Linked DNA regions of Macaca fascicularis. The protein of the gene in region 4 interacts with the protein of the main gene of each other region in a pairwise test. Links are inferred from orthologs where the notes say so. Each region holds a gene or a part of one and is shown on either strand. Other genes may lie near its edges. The genes, in order: ARFGAP1, FAM76B, GLRX3 and GRN.

Region 1 (3,560 bases), on a different chromosome or scaffold from region 4:
TCACCCCTACAGCTGGCCCCGGAGCCCAGCACCCCCAGCCCACCTCCATCCTCTGCCTCACCCCCACAGCGGGCCTTGGAGCTGTGCCCAGAGGAGGCTCTGGTACGGGAATGATGCCCACTATCCTCGGGGGTCGAGAGCCCCGCCAGCTCCCTGCCTCCTTCGGGGCTTGACTGGGACAAGCAGGGCAGGCACCCCCGGGGCAGCGTGGGCGTCCTCAGGTCATGTTGCTATTTGTCAGCAGCGGCTGGCGGGGCCACGTCTGCAGACACCAGGCCTCGCAATGACGTGGGCTCTTGATGCTGGAATCCGTTTGGGGCCCCTGTAGGACTTTCTGGGGCTCAGCCTGACGGGTGTCCCCAGGCCCCTGTTACTTTGGATGCCCTCACGCTGGGGATTCCTGCACTCCTGAAGCTTTAAGCTTTAATCTCTGCCGCCCCCATTAATGCTGCCGTCTTAATCCGTGCAGGTGAAGGAGGGAAAGATTTTTGATGATGTATCCAGTGGGGTCTCTCAGTTGGCGTCCAAGGTAGGGAGCCTGCCGCATGTGCGGGCACAGTCAAAGCCAGTCTCCATATTCCACGGCCCTGGGCGTGAGAGCAGGGTGTGCCCCGTGCAGCCCCCAGCCTGCCTTGGCAGTGGCTGCTGTCCTCTTGAGATGGGAGGAGGGCTGCCCGGCCTGATGGCCCGAGGCATATGGAAACAGCTTGGCCCACTGCGGCCCGGTCAGCCACTAACTGCCACTTCTCCTGCTCTTACCTTGCTGCCACTGGCCTTTTCCTCGGTAAGTGCCAGCGCCGTCTTAGCTGCCATTGGTCTCACTGCTCTGCGGGCCATTCGGGGCGTGCATTTTGTCCTGTTTCCTGGCATGAGGTGCTCTGCAGACGGGGAGGGAAGAGCAGGTCTCGGTCCTCTCCCCCGAGCACGTGGTGGGAGCTCTCGAGGTCTGTGCCCGAGGCTGTCCTCACTGCCGTGTCCCGCATGCACCTGGTGCCACTGCGGCGTGGCTGTGCGTGTCTGTGTCTGTACGCGTGTGCGCGGCACTCCTTGTTTCTGGATGTTTCTGGATTTTACCCGGGTCTTTTCAGCGGGATGGCGTGTGCCAGCTTGCGTGTGGGGGCCTCCAAAAGCTGCCTGTGCCGCGACAGGGCCTTCCTAACCTCTCTTCCCATCGCCTTCCAGGTCCAGGGAGTCGGTAGTAAGGGATGGCGGGACGTCACCACCTTTTTTTCGGGGAAAGCAGAGGGCCCCTTGGACAGGTACGCTGTGTCCCCTCCTGGGCCTTGCGTCCCGCTCCCCTGCCTCGGCCACTCCTCCCATAGGCTGTCGGGGAGGTGGTCGGCATCGTTGCTGGGGAGGGGAGGGGGGCGCTGTGGAAGGCTCTCTGAGTGCTCTGCAGCTGCAGAGGCCTGTCCTCCCTCTCTGCCCTGACTGGGCTCCCCAGGCTAGGGTGGGAGGGAGGGTCTCACCCACACGCCCCCACGTAGGAGGAGCTGGCCCTACTCTGCTGTTCCTCTGTCTTCCAGACTCTGGGTGGGTGGAGCAGGTGGGGGGCCGGGGACAGGAGGGCTGGGGGCCCCAGAGACCTGTCCTGGCCCCCATGTCCAGCTCTGCCCTTAGCGCTGGGCACCCCAGGCATTTCTGCTGGAAGCTGGCTGCTTTTCTCGGCCTCTGACTCCAGCAGGGGAACCACAGGGGATCTCGTAGGGCCTGGCCTTGTGCTGTCTACTGAGAGGCCAATGCTGGTGGGCACAGATGCGCTGCCCCCTAGGTGGGCCCAAATTTTCCCTGAGACGCCCTTCTCTTCCCTCTGTGTGTGTGGTTTTTCAGTGATGTGATTGCAGCTGAGGACAGAGGGCAGGGCCTGGTTCGGGGCCGGCGTAGCGGAGGACAGAGGGCAGGGCCTGGTTCGGGGCCGGCGTAGCGGAGGACAGAGGGCAGGGCCTGGTTCGGGGCCGGCGTAGCGGAGGACAGAGGGCAGGGCCTGGTTCGGGGCCGGCGTAGCTGAGGACAGAGGGCAGGGCCTGGTTCGGGGCCGGCGTAGCGGAGGACAGGGCAGGGCCTGGTTCAGGCTGGCATAGCTGAGGGTATTGCTCAGAAGAGCCTGTGTCCCAGCTTGAGGGCGGTGCCCCTGCCCCTCCCCACTTGACTAAACCACTGTTTTATCGCAGCAGTTTGGAGCTGGTAGAAAAAGAAGTTTTTAGTAGAACTATCCTGCAGTTTGGGTGATTGATAGAGTGGGCCTTGGTTCTCCAGCTCCCCAGCAGTTTCCACTGCTATGAAGTGGGAGAAACAGCTCCCGCCTGGTGGGGCTGCTGTGGACCCCGAGCGCTGGCCTGGGAAGGTGGTCACTGTCCAGGTGCAGAGCTTTCGGGGGCACAGAATTCCCAGTGGTGGGCTAAGTAACAGTCATTCAGAATCCCCCTTCTGTCTCTTTAAAAGCCCCTCGGAGGGCCACAGTTACCAGAACAGCGGTCCGGACCACTTCCAAAACAGCACCATAGACCAGAGTTTCTGGGAGACCTTTGGAAGTGCTGAGCCCACCAAGGCCCGCAAGTCCCCAAGCAGCGACAGCTGGACGTGCGCGGACACCTCCACCGAGAGGAGGAGCTCGGACAGCTGGGAGGTGTGGGGCTCGGCCTCCACCAACAGGAACAGCAACAGCGACGGTGGGGAGGGCGGGGAGGGTGCCAAGAAGGCAGTGCCACTGGCCGTGCCCGCCGACGATGGCTGGGACAACCAGAACTGGTAGGGCCCACCGCGCCCCTGTCCCCAGCGCCCCCAGGCGACTTCATGTTTGCACTCTGCCCTCATCGTTCCTCCTCCTTTCATTTGACCCAAGAATCAGTGACTGCAGTGTGAGGACAGCGTCTCGGGAGGCAGGACCCCAGGGAGACTCAGGTTCTCACCGCCTGCCACGAGGGGTTCTCGGTGCGTGGGAGCGGCCTGCTCTCCAGCCTGGGCGGGGGCCATCCCGTCCTACACTCCCCTGGGCATTCTTGGACTCAAGGCAGGGGCTCTTCGTGGTTTGCTGGGAGGTGGGCTGCAGCACAGAGCCCTGTGACTGTTCACTACGCAGTATCTCGGGGCTGGGACCAGCCCCGTGCCGAGCTGTCAGCGACGTGAGGTGTCCCTTCTCCTTGAGATACTTAACTTTGGGTTTGCTCTAGTTCTTTCTTTTTGAAGAGAGTGACGGGAGTGGTAAAGATGGAAACGCTAAAAGCGATACTGGCGCTCACACTGCCGTCCGACCACCCTCGGCTCCCACGTCCACGCCTGCCTGGGCCTGTGCGGTCAAACCTGTGTCGGTCGTGACCCTCCGTGGCTTCCCTGCATCCGCACTGTCTAACCACCAAGTTCACCAGACACAGCCCCCACAATAGCCACACCCACACCTGAGCTGTTCTCAGTGCTGGGACTTGACCATCCTGGAACACCCTGGAAGAAAAAGGAGCGCAGGGTGGGCCCTCGGCCCTGAGGCAGGAGGGCACGACAGCGGTGTGGCCTGGCAGGAGAGCCCCGGGCTCAGGAGCTGAGCAGGGATGCCTGTGCGCGGTGCC
Region 2 (4,041 bases), on a different chromosome or scaffold from region 4:
AACAGAGACGGCCAGTCTCCGTTCCAGTTTCACTGGAAGCCAGAGGGTGCAGTCTCGACAGAGGAACAGTGAATGGAAGCTTGGGGAGCGCGGGGCAATCTAGGCACTCCCGCCGTCCTCCGGAATTGACTCAGAAGCTGGACTGACAGAGCCCTGAAAGTGAGGAAACTCAAAGAGGCGCTTGGGACCGATGTGGGGACCACTCGCGCCAACTGCTGCTTACCGACAACTGGGAACCAGAAGCCGCAGAGACAGACGCCGCCGCCATCTTTCAGCCTGCCCAGGGGGGTCTCCGCACCTTGGGGGCGGTCTGGGTTCTCGTGCTCTTCTCCAAGACTCGGGAGCCGCCCACCAGGGGCGACCCTGGGCTGAACCCCTGATGGAAAAGGGCAACGGTGCTGGTGCTCGGCTTGGAAACCCCTGCCACACACCCCCTCAGAGCCGCCTACGCTCACACCGTACACAGAAAAGGCAACACGTCCTAACGGACGTCTTCCCTAGCCAATCAAAACAGCAGACGTCTTTTAGTAGCAGGAGAGAATCCGCCTCTTCCCTGGTGACGTCACAAGGTAGCGCGTAACTGGGCCTGCTGGGGGCCGACAACGCCGCGGGCTACTGGCCGGCTCTGCGGGGATTCTACGGTGGGGCGGGTCTCCTCCAGTAAGAAGCGTGGGCGAGTAGTGTTGTCGCCAGTGGCAACCGAACGGAGTAATGGAGATAAAACAAAAGCGAAGGCGAAGTTAAAGCACTCCACGAGTTCCCTCGGATTAAACGCAGGAGAGAGCGTGAGTTTGCCTCGGGGACGCCTCTCCAGGTGAAGTACTTACCTTTTGGCCAATAACAAATAGGATTAGGAGGGACTTAACGACTTAGTCCAATAGAAAGCAAGGATAAAAAAGTTGCGGCAGAGAACGAGCCTTTCGCCAACATTTGCCCAATTGGATTGGGGCGCTCTCACCCAAACCTGGGACTGGCTGTTAGAAATAGCCGCGACCGCAGACCTTTGGGCGGGGCAGGTTCAAAGCGGATTTCGCGCGCTGAGAGCTCCGGGCTCTCATTGGCCGGCGACATCCTCCCTTTGTGGGCGCTCCAGGCGTCGCGGAAGTTGGAAGTTGGGAGGAGCCACCGAGTGACGCGTGGCCTCCGCAGCCAATCAGGGATGGGGAAGGGAGGCCGAGAAGGAAGCGGATCCGCGGTCGCGCAGCTAAACAGCAACCCCTACCCGCTTCGTCTCCCTCCGCCGCTATCGGGGCCTAAGCGGGAGCGGCTGGCACGGCGTCACTGGGTGGGCTGGGGCGGAAGTGGAGGCGGAGGGAGACGGTGGCGTCGTCCGCGGGGCCCTGGGCTCTGGCGGCGAGGCCCTGGTGGGCGCGAGGCAGGGGGAGGGGGAGGAGGAGGAGCCCGCGGCCCGGGCGGCGGCGGCGGGTCTCGAGTTCTCCGTAGGGCCCCGCCTCGGAGCGGGCGGCGGCGGAGGAGGAGACTGAGGAGCAGGATGGCGGCCTCGGCCCTATACGCCTGCACCAAGTGTACCCAACGCTATCCCTTCGAGGAGCTCTCCCAGGGCCAGCAGCTCTGCAAGGTCCGTGGCCTCCGGGAGGAGGGCGGGATGGATGTCCTCGGTCGTAGCCGGAGGGGGCCGGGTAGCCGCTGCACTGCAGCCCCTCTCTCTTTGCCGGCGCCTCGGGGGTTTGGGAGTCTGGTGTCCCCGCCTCCCCACTCGGGGACCCCTTTTTCTGGGGGCTTGAACATCAGCTGGGAACGGCCCCTGAGAGGGAGGCAGAATCGTGCCCTCTTCCAGGCGGCCCGGGCGGGTGCCGAACCCCGTCAGCGTCTGAGGGGTCTCAGAGGTGGGGTTGAGTGAGGCAGCCACCTGTCTATACCGCAGAGACCCAGGGGTGGAGATGTTTTCATCTCGGTTTTCTGCCTAGTCTGTCCTCTTCTTCCACCAGGAGGCAGGGGACGATTTTTGCACTTTCTTGCTAGGAACCCGAAGCCGCAAAGCTGATGGCATCCTTCTTCCCTGTCCAGGAAAGCGAAGCGACTGGTTTGGGAACAGAATGCTCTGATTTGGAGCTCCTCCCATCCCATTAAAGCCAGGATGCTGTCTGTGAGCAACGGTGCAAAATAATAAGTAGTTTCACATTTAACCAATCCTTGAAATCGGCCCTGACAGCTTTCTTAATTTGTCTGTAATATATCCCACGTCTACTAAAGACAAAGACACCTATGCCTTCCCTGAGGAATTATATTGTGATTGGCCACTTATATGATAAAGCATCCAGTTCCTTACGTTGGGGCCAGGTTTTATCAATATTTTAGACATTTAACTAGGTTGGGTAAACAATTTTCTACCAGAAAAGTGACATTTGGGACTTTCAGATAGATACCGACTAATGTATTGTCTTATTACAGGAATGTCGGATTGCACATCCTATTGTAAAATGTACTTACTGCAGATCAGAATTTCAACAAGAGAGGTTTGTATACTGAACAGTTTTTGACTGTTAAAGACAAGTGTTGTCTGTATGGAATATTTGGGGGTTGTAATCCCATATTTTTGTGAAAGTATTTTTAAAAAATGGTTTAGCCCCAGAAATTTTAAGTTGTAAACCTTTTATACATGGTGGGAGAGAATGTTGCCAGAAAAACCAGGGGTTGTTAATTTACCGTTACACTTTATATGAGACAGAATAAATTACTATGTGGAAAATGTACAGCCTTGCTAATGAAAATGCAAATGTAAACAGTTACTGTTACGCTAAAAAAAAAAGGTAAAGCCTTAATGGACCTGAGGAAAAGTCTGTAGTGTTACCAACTGCCGTCCAAGGGTGAAATGTAGTAATTTGTTACATGGAAGAGGAGTAGTACGTAACATTTTTAACAGTTACTTCCGCTCTGAGAGTATATACAGAAAGTAGCCTCAGAAAAGAACAAATAATTTCTTCTTAAATAGGTGTGGGCATTATAATGTTGGACAATAGCCAAGTGGAGGGTTAGGTAGGCAGTGGTATTGTAATGCTGTGCATTAATAGTGGCAAGTGTGAAGATTTTGGAGCTATATAGGAAACATTGTGATGTTTTGTGTACAAAAAGAAATACACAATAAAAATGTATAAAAATATTTGTCTTAAGTTAATTTGGGTAAAACAACTCTGAAAAGATCCTTGTGTTTTTGAGAAAAATCCGTGGTCCATATTAGAGTAAGTTTTAAGTACTACAAATCTTTGACTCATTTTATTTTGACATTGTGCTAATTGCTTTAGAATGCTACATAAACATGATCTATATACAATTTCTTTTTCAGCAAAACTAACACAATTTGTAAGAAGTGTGCTCAAAATGTGAAGCAATTTGGGACGGTAAGTATGTCATGTTTTCATGTCATTGTTACCAGTTAATATTTTTCACAAAGCTGGACCTTTTAAAAAGTACATACTGCTGGCCGGGCGCAGTGGCTCACGCCTGTAATCTATCACTTTGGGAGGCCAAGGCAGGCAGATCACGAGGTCAGGAGATCGAGACCATCCTGGCTAACACAGTGAAACCCCGTCTCTACTGAAAAAAAAAAAAAAAAAAAAAATTAGCCGGGCATGGTCGTGGGCGCCTGTAGTCCCAGCTACTCCAGAGGTTGAGGCAGGAGAATGGCGTGAACTCGAGAGGCGGAGTTTGCAATGAGCCGAGATCCTGCCACTGCATTCCAGCCTGGGCAACAGAGCAAGACCCCGTCTCAAAAAAAAAAAAAAAAGATGTACTGCTGTGCTCTTATGTATTTCAACATACCATATTTTATGAAAGAAATCTTCCATAGATATTTTGATGGAAAGGTGACAACATTTAAAAACAGTCAAATTATATGCCTGTTTTACATGTATTGAATATCAGTGTGAAATTTGTGAAGCTATTCTTTAAAGATTCAAATATAGCAAATTCTTGGTTATGGAGAGCTTATCCATGAAGTTTGCGTGATCAGACTTTAGCCCACTTCAGAACGACCTCTTCAGAACTATTTTTATAAAACAGCACAATTCATACATTTTTTCA
Region 3 (4,054 bases), on a different chromosome or scaffold from region 4:
GGGGAGTGGAGATTACTCAGGCCAGAAAGTGTGTGGGAAGCATGGGGATACAGAGTACGCCACATGGAGAGCCCAAATCAGGGGGATTCCCAAGGGAGAAAGACAAGCCAGGGACCACTTGAGGAGGCCAGGGAGGAGGAATGCAGGGATCTTGGACCCATGCCCCCAACCCAGTGGACCCACCCAGCAGAATCCATTGTTCTGAGGTTACAATGGGTGATGGCTTGGTGGGGCTGCAATGAGTGGTGGCAGGTGCGGAGGCCAGGAGAGGAGGGACATGCTGTGGGCTCCAGGTTCAGGTCTGAATTCAGGACTGAGTTGGAAGCACCGGGTCTGTGTTGAAGTTCAAGATCTACCACTTCTGTTCCCAAAACCTCCCAGTTCTTCCTCACCTTTATGCAATTTCATTTTTGATAATTTCAGCTTCCTAAATGTACATATCTGATTTCACTTGCACTCACGTCTCACCCCCACTCCTCCACCGGCCCCTTCTCACTATTGCAGACCCAGGAGACACAGGAAGTGCAAGGAAGGTCTGGAGCCCCAAAAGCCAGGAGCCTAAGGAGTCAAGTGCCCTGACAGCCAGGAACCCTGACAGCCAGGAGCCCCGACACCCAGGAACCCCAACAGCCAGAAGCCTCTACCACCAGGAGTACTGACAGCAAGGAACCCTGACACCCAGGAGCCCCTACTATAGCCAGAAAGCCAGGAACTCTAACACCCAGGAGCCCCTACAGCCAGGAACCCCGACATCCAGGGGTCCCGACAGCCAGAAGCCACTATAGCCAGGAGCGCCTACAGCCAGGAGCCCCTACAGCCAGGAACCCCGACATCCAGGGGTCCCGACAGCCAGGAGCCATTACAGCCAGGAACCCCTACAGCCAGGGGCCTGGACGGCCAGAAGCCACTATAGCCAGAAGCCCTTATAGGGCCAGGAGCGCCTACAGCCAGGAGCCACTACAGCCAGGGAGCCCCGACAGCCCTGACAGCCAGGAACCATGACAGCCATGAACTCCGGAAGCCAGGAGGTCCGCAGCGGAGTGCCCAGACCTGGCAGGGTCAGAGCCCCTCAGCGGGATCCAGAGCCACCCAGCGGGATTCAGCGCCCGCGGCCGAGGCCCTTTCTGGGATTTCTCAGGCTCTGTAGCGTCAGCGCAGGCAGGGGCGGGGCTTTCCCTCGCGCAGCCGCTAAGCTCTCCGCGGGCCCGCCTACATCCGGCCGCCGGCACGCGATTGCTTCTGTCTGGCGGCGGCAGCATGGCGGCGGGGGCGGCTGAGGCAGCTGTAGCGGCGCTGGAGGAGGTCGGCTCAGCCGGGCAGTTTGAGGAGCTGCTGCGCCTCAAAGCCAAGTAAGCGAGGCGGCGAGTGGCAGGAGTGAGGAGCCGGCGGGAGAGGCCGCGAGACCGGGCCGGGAGTGGCCGCGAGACCGGGCCGGTGTGGGGCGGCGGGTGGCCCAGCCCGGCTCCTTGGCGCCCGGCTCGCTTCGGCCTCGGGGGACCGGGCCCGGCCCAACCCGGGATTCCCCCGAGCCTCCGGCGCTGACTGGCCCGAACCGCGGGCTCCCCGCCCCGGAACAGCGAGCAGGGCTCGAGGCTTTTCTCGCAGCCCCGGCCCCGGCCCTCGCTCCGACCCCGACGGCTGTCCAAGCCCGGGGGACGCGACCTTCCCGTCCTCTGGCCTGGGCGGCCCCGCAGCGGGACGGAGGCGGTGACTCAGCCTTGCCGCAGCGGCGGGGCGGGGGACGGGGCGGTGCCGAGACCCCGGCCCACCGCGCCACGGAGCGGGGACCCATGGCTGCGGGCTCCACCTTTCCTGTGCCCGCCGGGAGGGAGCTGCAGACCCGTCGTCGGCCCATTCCTCTTCAGCCTCCCTTCAGGAACGCCCCTGTCGCAGGAAGAGCGGCTGGGGAAGGCCCCGCTGCATTAGCTAGGCCTGGCTGCCTTTTGAAGTCAGCCTTTAAAGTTTGTTGGTCAGCAGGTAGCCTCAGTCTTCAGACCGAACCTGTTGCCGGAGACAGAGGTTTCCTGTTCCATGAACTGGTGTAGTGAGAGTCTGTTCAGATTTGGCGCCGGTGTCAAGTCTTCCATCCCGGGAAGACAAAAGGAGATCCATAGGAATGCATAGAAAACGGTTTCTGGGTGGACTAGAAGCTCTGAACTGCAAGCATGCTTACGAGTAAATGCTTACTGGCGTGCGTGTTTGCGGGGAAAGGTCTGCGCGTGGACTCCCCGTGGTAATACCTCACATTGTAGACTACTCCAAGGACTGAGTTGTTCTCTTAGTTGTATTAATAGCGGTTGCTACGGGAGCTCTTCTGTCGGATTGCCTGGGATCCAGTCCCACCGCAGCCACTCACTAGCCGTGTAACCCCTGGGCACATTTCATACCCAAGCCTCAGTTTCCCAACGATGAAATAGATCAGCACCTATTAGTACCTCAGGGTTGTTGTGAGGGTTAAATGAGATGACGTATGTAAAATACAATTAATACAATGCCTAGTATGCAGGAAACACTCAGTAGATGTTGGCCCTTCGGTAGGAAGCAGAGTGGTTCATGGAATTCACAGGCAAAATATACTTTGTTTTGTTTTGTTTTTGAGACAGGGTCTGGCTCAGTCACCTAGGCTGCAGTGTAGGGGAGTGATCACGGCTCCCTGCAGCCTCAGCCTCCCAGGCTCAAGTGATCCACCCACCTCATCCTCGCATCTTAGCCTCTCGAGTAGCTGGGACCACAGGTGCTCACCACCACGCCCGGCTAATTTTTATATTTTTTTTGTAGAGACGAGGTCTCTCCGCGTTGCCCAGCCTTGTCTCGACCTTCTGGACTCAAGCGATCTATCCTCCTCAGCCTACTAAAGGGTTGGGATTACAGGTGTGAGCTACCACATCTGGCCAAAAATGCTTATTGATCCAGATTTTGTTTTGTTTTGTTTTCAAAACAGGCTGTTGCTCTGTTGCCCAGGCTGAGTGCAGTGGCGTGATCTCGGCTCACTGCAGCCTCTACCTCCTGGGTTCAGGCGATCCTCCCACCACAGCCTCCTGAGTAGCTGGGACTACACGTGCGGTCCACCACGCTGGGCTAATTTGTGTATTTTTCGTAGAGACAGGGTTTCTTTTTTTTTTTTTTTTGAGACGGAGTCTTGCTCTGTCACCCAGGCTGGAGTGCAGTGGCCGGATCTCAGTTCACTGCAAGCTCCGCCTCCCGGGTTTACGCCATTCTCCTGCCTCAGCCTCCCGAGTAGCTGGGACTACAGGCGCCCGCCACCTAGCCCGGCTAAGTTTTTTTTTTTTTTGTATTTTTAGTAGAGACGGGGTTTCACTGTGTTAGCCAGGATGGTCTCGATCTCCCGACCTCGTGATCCGCCCGTCTCGGCCTCCCAAAGTGCTGGGATTACAGGCTTGAGCCACCGCGCCCGGCGAGACAGGGTTTCTTCATGTTGCCCAGGCTGGTCTCTGGAACTCCTGAGCTCAAGTGATTCACCTGCCTCGGCCTTGTAAAGTATTGGGATTACAGGCTTGAGCCACCGTGACCAGCACTGTTGATCTAAATGGAGTGAAATTTTGCTGACTGAATTTGAATTAGAGGCAAGTAGTATACTCTGATTTTGCAATGGAGAGTGCAGGTGAGATGGGGTGTTGCCTTTGGAAAGGGGGAGGGGTGAGAGTTACTGACTAATGGTTAGAAATGCTTTATGGGGGTGATGAAATAACACAGCTCTTTAGGCATTTCAGGTTTACCTGGGAAATTGTTAAGGAAAAAAAGCAGGGATTGTCGGGGGGACATGTGACATTTACTCACTGATGGAAGCTGGGCTCTGACTCATCCAGTACAGATCAGCACAATCACGGGAGTCACCAGAAGTGACCTCTTGAAATGAGCAGGTGGTCTTGTGTGGACCTGCCCTAAGTAAACGTTTTGAATTTACCATCACCTGAAAAGACTGTTTTGTCTATGTGTTTTATATGTTTGTTTTAAATGCTTCATGTTTTAAAAAGTCCTTAAACTATCAAAATGGATAAAAGTTTTTTTTTTTTTTTTTTTTTTTTTTTGAGAC
Region 4 (4,103 bases):
CAGGCACCTAGCAGCTCCTGAAGCCCACTGGCATTGAACATAGCATTCAATCCCTGCCAAGCCTGCCCTTCCCATCTGGTTTCCCAAGGCTCTTCCCAACACCACCTCCTCCACCTGCCAGTTAAAATCTTCCCAAACTCAGCTCAAGGAGATGCTTCTAAGGTGGAATGAAATATCTTCTTCCCCACCTGTAGACAATCTACTTCCTCTCCCACACCTGGCAACTGGCGCACGACCTTGTATATTAAATTAGATTCAGCCTGAGACTGTCTCCCACCAATCCCTGCCCCCTGTCCTGCTGAGCACCTGGAGGAAAGGGCTTTTGGGCTGTTTATCTTTGTCCTGGAAACCATCCTTCAACTCACTCTGGGCCCTGCCTAGCATGTCATCCGAGTTTGCAGAATAGAGCAGGACAGGACAGGGCAGGATAGGATAGGATAGGAGCGAGTGAGCCCGGTAGCTCACACCTGTAATCCCAGTTCCTCGGGGGCCTGCGGTAGGAGAATCGCTTTGGGAGCAGGAGTTGCAGGCCGCAGTGAGCTATGATCAGCTTGGGCGACCGAGCGAGACCCTTTCTCTAAAACAAACACACAAGGTCGGGTGCGGTGGCTTAGGCCTGTAATCCCAGCGCTTTGGGAGGCCGAGGCGGGCGGATCACGAGGTCAAGAGATCAAGACCATCCTGGCCAACATGGTGAAACCCCGTCTCTACTAAAAATACAAAAATTAGCTGGACTTGGTGGCGCGCGCCTGTAGTCCCAACTATTCGGGAGACTGAGGCAGGAGAATCGCTTGAACCCGGGAGGCAGAGGTTGCAGTGAGCCGAGATCGTGCCACTGCACTCCAGCTTGGCGACAGAGTGAGACTCCATCTCAAAACAAACAAACAAACAAAAGAATAGAAAGAGGAGCACAAATATTCCCAATTCATAACAGTCCCTCGCACTGTCAATGCCCCAGACACGCGCTATCATCTCTAGCAAACTCCCCCAGGCACCTGCAGGATGGGTGAAGGAAGGCGACGAGCACCAGCTGCCCTGCTGAGGCTGGCCCGGCGTCACATGATTTTCCAATCACATGATCCCTAGAAATGGGGTGTAGGGCGAGAGGAAGCGGGGAGGAGAGTGATTTGAGTAGAAAAGAAACACAGCATTCCAGGCTGGCCCCACCTCCACATTGATAAGTAGCCAATGGGAGTGCGGCAGCCCTGATCCCTGGCCAATGGAAACTGAGGTAGGCGGGTCACCGCGCTGGGATCTGTAGTCTGAGCGCTGCCCGGTTGCTGCTGCCCAGGGACCGCGGACCCGGACGCAGGTAGGAGGGCGGCCGCGCAGACCTCTGGCCTGCTCCTGCCCAGGGGCCCGGCTAGGGCCATGTGAGCTTGAGGTTCCCCGGGAGTCTCAGCCGGAGACAAGACAAGAACCGCTTATTGAAACTCCTTGGGGGTTCTGATACACTAGAGGGAGTTTTATGGGAAAGAGGAAGCAGTAACTGCAGTGACCTCTGTTAGAAGGGGGCTTTCTACCTCCCCAGCATTCCCCCAAAGCAGGGACCACACCATTCTTGACTCAGCTCCACCCCTGTCGGTAGGTGCCGGCTTCTTTCCCTCTCGTGGTGGTGGTGGGTGGTTCCCGCGGCGGCCTGAAGCCGGAGGGGCGCGCGACCCTGGGCTGGGAGCTCCGAGGGCCTGGGAACGGGACCTGAAACCTTGGCTTCTCGAAGGTAGTAGGGACTTGGGAGTGGTGACTGAACCTGGTCTGGCTCCTCCTTACTTCCTCTTTTTGGGGGTGGGACGAGCTAACTTCCGCCTCTCCCAGCCACTTTTTCCTGCTCAGTTGCAGCTAGGCTGGCTCCCCTTTTGGGAATTTCCTCTCCCCTTGGCACTCGGAGTTGGGGGCTGCCACCTAGTGGAAGATAACGGAGCTAGGGTCTTGAAGAGGCTGCTGTCCCCTCTGGCTGTTTTGGCGGTGTAGGGTGGCGTGAGAGACTGCGACTCGCCTCCTCATCCCTGTTTCTGTATGTGTGTGCATGTATTCAGTAGAAGCATACACTATACTCCCTCAACTCAGGGTAAACAGGAGGGGCCATGCACAGGTAACTCACCAGAGAGCTGAACACTCCTGTGCAGACAGACTCCCCTTCCCAGCAAGCCAGGGCAGCGGACAGCCTGCTGAGAACACGCAGGAAGTAGGCGGTGCCAGCTGCAGGTGCTTTGCCTGGGAGCTGTGGGGCTGAGGAGAGGGTCCACTGTCCAGGACCAGTCAACTGCATCCTTATCTGTCCAGGAGGTGGCCTCTTCGGGATGCTGAGTTAGGGGAGGGGCACTTGAGGAAAGCCAATTGGAGCAGAGAGGATGTGAGTGACTGGGTGGGTGACATTTCCTGCCCTTCCCCCCTCCAATGATATCCACACAAGACTCGTGGGGGAACTGAGGCACAGACAGGGAGCAACTTCTCAGGCCCTCACAGTTGGCAATTCCAGGATTAGGACTCAAGTGCGATTTCCAGGCAGTCCCTGTTTCTGTGGTACCTGTTGCACCTATCCCCCTGGGGCGTAGGGGTCCATTCTCAGGCACTGCCCATTGTGCCACTAGTGATATTAACCCAGGTCCAATACGCTCTGGGGCCATCAAAGCCTGTCGTCACCATGACCTGATGTGTGACATGTTATCGGTGTCCCTTGGTATCTTCATGGAACTGGTTCCAGGACCCCAAAGTCTGGGTGCTCAAGTCCTTGATACAAAATGGTGTGATATTTGCATATAACCTATACATACTTTAAATCATTTCTAGATTACTTATGCCTAATACAATGGAAATGCCATGTTGGCTGGGCACGGTGGCTCATGCCTGTAATCCCCACACTTTGGGAGACTGTGGTGGGTGGATCACCTGAGGTCAGGAGTTCGAGACTGGCAGCCTGGCCAACATGGTGAAACCCCTATCTCTACTAAAAATACAAAAATTAGCCAGGTGTGGTAGCAGACTCAGGAGGCTGCTCAGGAAGCTGAGGCAGGAGAATTGCTTGAACCCGGGAGGCAGAGGTTGCAGTGAGCTGAGATTGCGCCACTGTACTACAGCCTGGGCGTCAGAGCAAGACTCCGTCTCAAAAAAAAAAAGAAAAGAAAAGAAAAGAAAAAGAGTGCAGCACACCAACATGGCACAAGTATACATATATAACAAACCTGCACGTTATGCACATGTACCCTACAACTTAAAGTATAATAATAATAAATAAATTTAAAAAAAGAAAAGAAAAAGAAATGCCATGTAAATAGTTGTGATCCTGAATTGTTTAGGGAATAATAAGAAAGAACAATCTGTACATGTTCAGTATAGATGCACCCATCCTAAGCCTAACTACATAGTATACCTCAGCAACAATGTAACATTTTCTGGGGTTTTTGTTTTGTTTTGTGAGACGGAATCTCAGTCTCGCTCTATCACCCAGGCTGGAGTATGGTGGCACGATCTCCTCCACTCACTGCAACCCCCACCTCCTGGGCTCAAGCGTTTTCCTGCCTCAGCCTCTTGAGTAGCTGGGATTACAGGTGTGCACTACCACGCATGGCTAATTTTTGTATTTTTAGTAGAGATGGGGGTTTCACCATGTTGGTCAGGCTGGTCTCGAACTCCTGACCTCGTGATCCGCCCACTTAGGCCTCCCAAAGTGCTGGGATTAGAGGTGTGAGCCACCACACCCAATATTTTTTGATCTCTGGTTGGATACGGAGGGCTGACTGTACTTAACATCTCTGAGCTTCAGTTTCTTCCTTTGAAAGTAAAAGTGGCTGGGCGTGGTGGCTCACGCCTGTAATCCCAGCACTCTGGGAGGCCGAGGTGGGTGGATCACGAGGTCAGGAGATCGAGACCATCCTGGCTAACACAGTGAAACCCCGTCTCTACTAAAATACAAAAAATTAGCCGAGCGTGCTGGCAGGCGCCTGTAGTCCCAGCTACTCAGGAGGCTGAGGCAGGAGAATGGCGTGAACCCAGGAGGTGGAGCTTGCAGTGAGCTGAGATAGCACCACTGCACTCCAGCCTGGGAGACAGGGAGAGTCCGTCTCAAACAAACAAACAAAAAAGTAAAGGTGAGGCCAGGTGTG

The links.
Region 1: the proteins of GRN (region 4) and ARFGAP1 interact in binary tests that used the Homo sapiens proteins (3 or more experiments, as listed by UniProt). The two-hybrid records come from large-scale screens. The link is inferred for Macaca fascicularis from reciprocal best matches to the Homo sapiens genes GRN and ARFGAP1.
Region 2: the proteins of GRN (region 4) and FAM76B interact in binary tests that used the Homo sapiens proteins (3 or more experiments, as listed by UniProt). The link is inferred for Macaca fascicularis from reciprocal best matches to the Homo sapiens genes GRN and FAM76B.
Region 3: the proteins of GRN (region 4) and GLRX3 interact in binary tests that used the Homo sapiens proteins (3 or more experiments, as listed by UniProt). The link is inferred for Macaca fascicularis from reciprocal best matches to the Homo sapiens genes GRN and GLRX3.

Annotation. Positions count from the first base shown.
Region 1 is NC_088384.1:119,400,598-119,404,157, forward strand, and holds part of ARFGAP1 (ADP-ribosylation factor GTPase-activating protein 1), read left to right. Parts: intron 1-469; coding exon 470-784; intron 785-1,182; coding exon 1,183-1,259; intron 1,260-2,442; coding exon 2,443-2,752; 3' UTR 2,753-3,560. UniProt on the Homo sapiens protein: GTPase-activating protein (GAP) for the ADP ribosylation factor 1 (ARF1). Involved in membrane trafficking and /or vesicle transport.
Region 2 is NC_088388.1:94,801,336-94,805,376, reverse strand, and holds the start of FAM76B (protein FAM76B), read left to right. Parts: upstream 1-1,186; 5' UTR 1,187-1,492; coding exon 1,493-1,579; intron 1,580-1,983; exon of another isoform or gene 1,984-2,098; coding exon of another isoform or gene 2,099-2,107; intron 2,108-2,412; coding exon 2,413-2,477; intron 2,478-3,304; coding exon 3,305-3,359; intron 3,360-4,041. Other genes in the region: CEP57 (centrosomal protein of 57 kDa), read right to left, coding at 224-268. UniProt on the Homo sapiens protein: Negatively regulates the NF-kappa-B-mediated inflammatory pathway by preventing the translocation of HNRNPA2B1 from the nucleus to the cytoplasm.
Region 3 is NC_088383.1:139,103,847-139,107,900, forward strand, and holds the start of GLRX3 (glutaredoxin-3), read left to right. Parts: upstream 1-1,235; 5' UTR 1,236-1,257; coding exon 1,258-1,349; intron 1,350-4,054. UniProt on the Homo sapiens protein: Together with BOLA2, acts as a cytosolic iron-sulfur (Fe-S) cluster assembly factor that facilitates [2Fe-2S] cluster insertion into a subset of cytosolic proteins.
Region 4 is NC_088390.1:65,406,467-65,410,569, forward strand, and holds the start of GRN (progranulin), read left to right. Parts: upstream 1-1,279; 5' UTR 1,280-1,312; exon of another isoform or gene 1,313-1,720; intron 1,721-4,103. UniProt on the Homo sapiens protein: Secreted protein that acts as a key regulator of lysosomal function and as a growth factor involved in inflammation, wound healing and cell proliferation. Regulates protein trafficking to lysosomes, and also the activity of lysosomal enzymes.